2 linked regions of the Arabidopsis thaliana genome follow. The protein of the gene in region 1 interacts with the protein of each later gene in a pairwise test. Each region holds a gene or a part of one and is shown on either strand. Other genes may lie near its edges. The genes, in order: AT1G09160 and AT5G61570.

Region 1 (3,930 bases):
TTATTCACATTAGCCCTGAACTAGAAGATTTGGGAGAAACACTCAGCACCCTGAAATTTGCAGAGAGGGTGGCCACTGTTGACCTCGGTGCTGCTCGTGTCAATAAGGACACTTCTGAGGTTAAAGAACTCAAAGAACAGGTCCACCATATATACTTCTCTTCACATTATTATACTATTCATTCTCTCAAAATACATTGTCCAAATCATCAGTTACCTTTGTTATTTGCTTTCAGATTGCTAGTTTGAAACTTGCGCTAGCGAGAAAGGAGAGCGGGGCAGATCAAACACAGCTCCAAAGACCCCTTACTCCTGATAAACTCCTCAGAAAAAAGTCACTTGGCGTTTCGTCTTCATTTTCAAAATCAGCAAACAGTACAAGACAGGTCCAAACCAAACATAAGCCATCACAGATTGATGATGTCAACAGCATTGAGGTAAAGGGGACAAGAAAACTCATTCACCAAACAAAACAAATCAAACTTGTTAATACGTTTTGCAGTGATTACTTCATGATGTGTAGTGAAATTACTTGCAGGGTCAAAGTGACTCTGCATCTAGCCTTGACTTACAAGGACTAGTAGGTTCACCGTCATGGAAAACCCCGCCGAGAGATGGGAAAGAGGAGGACATGGAATTTATTATACCAGGAAGTGAATGGGTTGATAAACACGAGGACGAAATCACGCGTAGTAGCAAACCTGAAAACAGAGCACATACACAGCTTGAGAAGCGAACGTCTAGCTTGAAACGTGAAGCAACTCGAGGTGTAGATAAGAATAAGTGTAATAGTAGTGTAGATAAAGGATTAGAGGTAAGGAAGATTCCATACGAAGAAGAAGCAAATGAGTCAGATGAAACCGCAACAAGTGATTGCTCGGAGACTAACTTGATGTGGCAGTTGAATGTTCAAGTGAATATGCCTAGACCAGCTTCTAATGGTTCTTCAACTAAACTAAAGAAGAATCAATCAAAAATAAGTAGAGTTGCTGCTGAGACCAGGTGAGTTATTTACTATATAAATGATTGGATTTTCTTATAAAAATAGAATGTTTTAGCTAATGTAATAATGTTGATGATCAGGAGTATGATACCTTCGCTAATTCCGACGCCTACGAGGACATTATCGCTTGGGGCGGCTATTAGCTCGCCAGGACAAACGTCCTCAAGGCATAACAACAGTACAGTAGTTGTGAAGAAGAGACAAAATCCCAAGTAATGATGAAAACATTTTGTGAGCATTTTAAGAATACAATTATTATTGGCGGACCCATATTTCATATTATGAGGTCATATATATACAGACGCCGTATACGAAGAGTAGAATACGTATGAGAGTGATAGATTGTAGTTGTACTATACTATAGGTTGAATATGTTTTGTTTGATTTGTGTGGCGTTTACTAGAATGAATATTCCATTCTTTTTATGGCCGATGTTGTATTCTACTACAGTATTACTTCTCGAAGCTAATGTATTTTATTCATCACAAGAGTTATACATTTTCTGTTTTAAACTTTCCATAATCTCGATTTATATGTACTTTTTAACAATATGATTTGTCAATGTAGCAATTTTATAGTTTGATATTTTGTTAAGCTAGACTAGTTAGTTAATAAGAGCCAAATCAGTTTTTGATGGCAGTTTGACTAGATGGATGGTGATGTAAAACTGCTACAAGCAAATTAGCCAAATAGTCAAACACATATCGAAAACTGTGTCCATTATGATATTTTTTTTATAAAAAAAAACCAAACAGAAATATTACTATACGGATTTTTTTCACAATCAGATTTAGTTAAATCAAAATTTGACCAAGAAAAAAGAAGTTAATAAAAAAAAATTCTCCTACCCTAAAAATGTGTCCGTTATGAAAGTATTTAAGAAAATTTGTTATTTTTATTACAAAAATGCTTTAAACAAATATTGCACGAATCATTTGCAGAAAATACTAATTCTATAATCAAACTTAAGAATATACGATTTCTATAATTAAACTTAAAACTATACTAATACAATTCCTTACCTAAAGCGGGACTTTTGAGGGGCAATTAAGTAATTTCGAGAAGTTCATCATATTTCTTAATAAAATTAGCTGTCTCTAACCCCCGCGTCGCTGTTTCTTCCCAATCTGAGAAAACTCTCACTCTGCAACTTCGTTTCTCTTCTCCTTTCTTAAACCTCTCACGCGGTTTCAGACTTCCGTTCGCTTACCGAAGACGGCTCGGAAATTCTTTCCTGAAGAATCAGCGACGACCTTAGCATTATCTACAAGTCATCTTTTCTGCTAGATCTGTTGTGTATACTACTCGCGATTTCATTTTGGTGAGTTTATTGACTGCGAAGAAGCCTCAATTAGTGTTCTTTTACTGATTTTGCTATTGCTCGATTCTACTTTCGATACATTTTCCTGCATCTCAAAAGATAGCCAATTGTTGGAGATTCTAGAATTCTCTAGATTAGGGTTTTCCTCTGCATTTTCTCTATATTTTTTTATTTGTTTGGTTCCATTAACCAAAAAGAGTTTATCTTTGAGTAATTCCGTAGAAACCTCAAATTTTTGGATGAGAATCGAAATTTAGTAAAGTTGGTTACCATTTTGTTCTCATTTTTAGGGAGATAGATTGTTATAGGGTTCCTTAGTATTATTTATTAGAATTGAACCCTAAATGTTTGCAGCAACTAAATAATTTTGTTTTCTGTGATGAACAAAGAATTTGTTCCAGCCAATGCTGAAGGCTAGACTAAAATGAGCGTGTCAAAAGCATCGAGGACGCAACATTCGCTCGTTCCTCTTGCGACCCTGATTGGTAGGGAGCTGAGGAGCGAGAAAGTAGAGAAGCCTTTTGTCAAGTATGGTCAAGCAGCTCTCGCTAAGAAAGGAGAGGACTACTTTTTGATCAAAACTGACTGTGAAAGGGTACCTGGTGATCCATCATCGGCTTTTTCAGTTTTCGGGGTAATTGAGGCATTCTTCCCTTTAAGGATTCTCTGTTTTAGTGACGAATAGCTTACCCTTTTTCTGTTTTGTCTTCAGATATTTGACGGACACAATGGTAATTCAGCTGCCATATATACTAAGGAACATCTTCTGGAAAACGTGGTGAGTGCAATTCCTCAAGGCGCAAGCAGGGATGAGTGGCTTCAAGCTCTTCCTAGGGCTTTAGTTGCTGGCTTTGTGAAAACTGACATTGAATTTCAGCAGAAAGGTCTTAGCTTATGCTTATTTTTTAAAGGCTTTTTGCTTTCTATTCTTGTTTTTCAAGCATGCTCTAACCGATAAGATCTGTTGTGCTTACAGGGGAAACTTCAGGAACAACCGTGACTTTTGTTATAATTGATGGTTGGACTATTACTGTTGCTTCTGTTGGTGACTCGCGCTGCATATTGGACACCCAAGGTGGTGTGGTTTCTCTACTGACTGTTGATCACAGGCTAGAAGAGAATGTTGAAGAAAGAGAACGCATAACTGCTAGTGGAGGTGAGGTCGGAAGACTCAATGTATTTGGTGGCAATGAGGTATGATCATTTCCAGTGAATTTAAGTTACTGTTTCATTGTGTTTTGGCTGTGGTGGGTTTGTAATGTGTAAGAAGTCCTTGGATTTTCAATGATATTAATGTGCTTTGATTATGCCAATGCAATAGGTCGGCCCACTACGATGCTGGCCTGGTGGTTTATGTCTTTCGAGGTCCATTGGTGATACGGATGTGGGAGAATTTATTGTCCCTATACCACACGTTAAGCAAGTGAAAGTAAGCTCCCTTTCCCTTGGTACATTTTTCATTAATTCTTATATTTGACATTGATCAAAAAGTATTTTTATCTGTACGTTCAGCTTCCTGATGCTGGAGGGAGACTCATCATAGCTTCAGATGGTATATGGGATATACTGTCTTCTGATGTGGCTGCCAAAGCTTGTCGTGGTTTATC
Region 2 (3,930 bases), on another chromosome or scaffold:
GCAAATGCAAGCCGAAATCAGAGACTCTAGGCCTAAAACTCTTGTCTAGTAGAACATTTTTCGACTTCAGATTTCCGTGAACAATCGGTTTCTGCATTCCTGTATGGAGATGATCAAGAGCTTTTGCTATTCCAATGGTGATACTCAAAATGTTGCTCCATTTGTGTGCGTCAACATCTCCACCTGCCAAAACTATGCTCTGTTTTTAAGACAACCTATTGAATATTGATTAGAAAAATTAATGCTGATGTTGATGCTCTACAGATTTTAAAGGAACGAGATCTATAAAGATTTTGTCTTATATAATGAGCAAACTAAGTGGGAAGTGACAAAAAAAAGTAGTTACCGACAAAAGTTAGATCAATAATGGTGATCCTAGAACAAAATAAACAAACTTACTTTTTTGTTTGTCAGAGATAAAAAAAAACAATTCCATGTTACGATTTATGAAAATGTAAAAGATAAGACGATTTCTTATGGATCGACTACAGTTACCAATATGATTCCATCTGACGAAGAAATCTTCGATATAGATATTTCAAAAACAGAGACATCTTATATAGGTAACGATAAGTGCGTTAAAAACTTTTTACCATTTACCCGGGAAAACGAGAACTCAAGACTCTGTTTGTTTCCCAGAAAACAAGAATCTAGGAGATTCCACGAATCAAGACAGCTAAAAAGAGAACTCAAGACATCTCTTTTGGTCCGAAAATTAAAAAAGTTTGTTCCTTTTAATCTTTTTCAGCTTCCTCGCATTTTCTCGAGAGAAAAAAAACAGAGTAGAAAACAGAGACTTACATTTGATGAACGCAGAAAGATTCCCGGAACTACCGAAGAAGGGATGAATCATAAGCTTCTCTCCTCTGTTGCCAACGTAAAACCCTAACAGAGGAACGAGATTATCATGTCGAACAAACCCAAGTGACTCAATGACGCCATTAAACTCCTTAGAATCTGAATTCACAGCACATAAAGGTCGAAGGAACCTAAGAACTCTAACTTTCCCACTTCTTTGTAACGTCGCTTTGTATAATGTACCGTAGCTTGATTTTCCGATGACTTCTCCTGGAGCATCGAGTATATCGCAGATCGTTAGATCTTCTCCACCGTTGAAGATGATAAGCTCCTCCTCTGTTTCGGATCCGTTATCGGAAAATTCTTGTTTCTCGTAAGGAGATTCGACGTCGTATTGAACTTCATTGGTCTCTGTTGTTGTTCTTCTACAGAAGATGAAGATTATGATGATGGCGATCATGATCAAGAATGTTGTTGGTAGAGATACTGCAAGTATCAGTTTTACCAAATGGGATTTTCTCATCTCATGGAATAGTGTTGGATTTTTTGGTTTTTCTTTTGTAGACAAGGAAATTGGATTTTGAGTATTAAGCAAGAGATTTAAAGTTGGAATCTTTAGGTGTGAGAATACAAAATGGAATAAGAAAAAGTGTATGAATAATTGAAACTTTATTTGTTTACAGTAGAGATACAGAGAGATGTGTAGATGGTATGTGATGGAGATGAAGTAAATGATATAGAGAGATCTGAAACATGTTTTAATTAGTTGTATCAATGTGGACTTATGAGTTGTTTTTGTTCGCTATTATTGAAAACTTGTGTGTTTTTATTCCCCTGCCAAGTTCTCAACCAATTGTATAAGTTTATGACCTACTGGTATAAACCAAATTGTATAGGTCAATTTATTGGAACGACTATTTTAACTTTGTCATATTAGAATTAGATTTTGGCATTGTACTGTGAAAACGTATTAAAATTTTGTTTCTGTTTTTGGTACGAAATCACCTCCCAAAAAAAAATGTTAGGAATGCTAATCAATCTTATAAAGGATGTATTTTTCTTGTGAAAACTACCTAACTACTCTTTACTAGACATTGCCTTTTAACTTTTTATGGAACCTTCTTTCTAGTTTAAGGAAATGAGAAATTAACACTTAGACTTAATGGAACCTTCTTAATAGTTTCCACATCATTTAAGAGCCAATAACAGAACTATTACGTCCAAAGTATACAAAAATTAGCCACAACAAAAGAAAGGTTAGTGTAGAGTTTCAATTAGAGAAAATCTTGATTATAATGACAAAATTATACTCCGACGTCGAATGGTCCTTTGATAGCCCCACCAATCACCATACGTATCAAATAAGGTGGTGGGGGGACCTTCATGTCACTCCCCTTTCAACAACCACAACTCAATTGCAACTTTTGTTTACTAAATTTTTTTAGAGATTTTTTACTTTGTTGTTTTATTTTTCTATTTGTATTGCATAATTTCCATTCTGATATTTAATCACTTCATATTAGGATAAAGTTCTTTTTCCCTATGTGTGCATGTGTGCAAACTAAACGACATATAGAATATAAATTATTGCAATGATTCTCTTACATAGTTACATATACTGTTTGTTGTTATAATGTAATTCTTATTACTTCTATGTTTTGAACATCGTTTGGTTTAGACATAATTCATAATTGACGTATAGTTCGAACTTATTAACGTATATTTGTTTACCTTTGTTAAAGTTTCTTCGTTTGTAACTAATACTATATGAAAAAAGGATAAAGGAAAAAGAAAACTCTATCATTCCAGGTAGATAAGTGCATGATAGAATGTGTGAACAATGCTCAAATGTTATTTTTGTAAATTCAGTATTCGTTTGGCTAGCCCATTTATTATTCTATAACCATATTTATGTCTTTCATAGCTATATCATATAGAACCCACACAATTTAATGGCCTAGGTGTCAGATCTCATCTCATGTATACTAAGTTACTAACCTAGTTAACAATTGCATATATTCAACAAAATCCAACATGACAAAACATACCATTTTAATATTTTAGACTTTTTTCACTAAGAAACCGATAGATGTTAGAGAAACAAACAAAAATACAAAATAGTAAATGATATGGGTATCTTCGTAGTATAAACGATAGGCCAACTTTTACGATACTATCTCATGTTTGATAATAAAATCATACACAACTAAAAGATTTTTAAAAAACGAAGAGTTTTCATATTCATATTGGATTGGATTCATATATGTTTTTCGTTAGTATTGATATGTATACTTTTATAAGAAAATACGACACAACAAAAATCAACACTATTATATTCTTCTTGCAAATATGCAGTCAAAACCTATAATACAATCAAACAAATAAGGTAAAAAAAATTTACACACAAAAGCTCGAATATTTCATCAACGTTTGTGCGCAAGAATGGTATGACAAAACAAAAACCACAACGATTCATGTTAATTGACGAATTTAGCCGTATAAATTTAAGAACCTTTAATTAATTTATTTAATTAGTTGTGATCTCCACTCCTTGATTGCAGAAAGAAGAGAATGATTAGGAAGAAGAGAATCACTAGGAAAGGGCAAATCCGTCATTGGAGATTTATGATTCTTCTGAAGCCATTCCTTAATCGCTCTCTTCTCATACGTATATCCATCCGAAGCAACACATGGATTCTCCATCACATCCTAATTTCATCAATGACCCCATAAACCAAATCAAAACACATAACGTATCAAAAATCTGACATAAAATGTAAGATTTTCGTATCATTCATTACCTTTGTTATTGGACAGTAGAAATGGGTCGGAGCGTTATGGTGATGATCAATTAGGTTATCAGCAAACATGTTCCTTGCGATAGACGCAACTTCCTTTAACCGTTCAAGAACCGGCAAAATCTCTTTCCCTAAATCAGGACGATCACGCTTTCTCATCTCTGCACATCTAAGCCCTATCATAACCATCTCTTTAGCTTCCTTAACCGGCCAATCTCCAGCAGTTTTATCCAAGATCTCTGTAAATTTCCCGGTTTGATCTCTCAACGCTTTCTCTATCGAATGAGCCAAACCCATCGCGGATCTAGCTGTGACTAGCTGAAGAAGTATGATT

What was found.
Region 2: the proteins of AT1G09160 (region 1) and AT5G61570 interact in a protein complementation assay, tested with the Arabidopsis thaliana proteins (one large-scale study listed by BioGRID).

What each region holds. Positions count from the first base shown.
Region 1 is NC_003070.9:2,953,877-2,957,806, reverse strand, and holds the start of AT1G09160 (Protein phosphatase 2C family protein), read left to right. Parts: upstream 1-2,061; 5' UTR 2,062-2,323; intron 2,324-2,712; 5' UTR 2,713-2,747; coding exon 2,748-2,957; intron 2,958-3,035; coding exon 3,036-3,207; intron 3,208-3,299; coding exon 3,300-3,517; intron 3,518-3,644; coding exon 3,645-3,752; intron 3,753-3,835; coding exon 3,836-3,930. Other genes in the region: AT1G09170 (P-loop nucleoside triphosphate hydrolases superfamily protein with CH (Calponin Homology) domain-containing protein), read left to right, coding at 1-140, 236-436, 538-1,001, 1,083-1,218.
Region 2 is NC_003076.8:24,755,898-24,759,827, reverse strand, and holds the start of AT5G61570 (Protein kinase superfamily protein), read right to left. Parts: upstream 1,640-3,930; 5' UTR 1,322-1,639; coding exon 802-1,321; intron 193-801; coding exon 1-192. Other genes in the region: AT5G61560 (U-box domain-containing protein kinase family protein), read right to left, coding at 3,322-3,507, 3,600-3,930.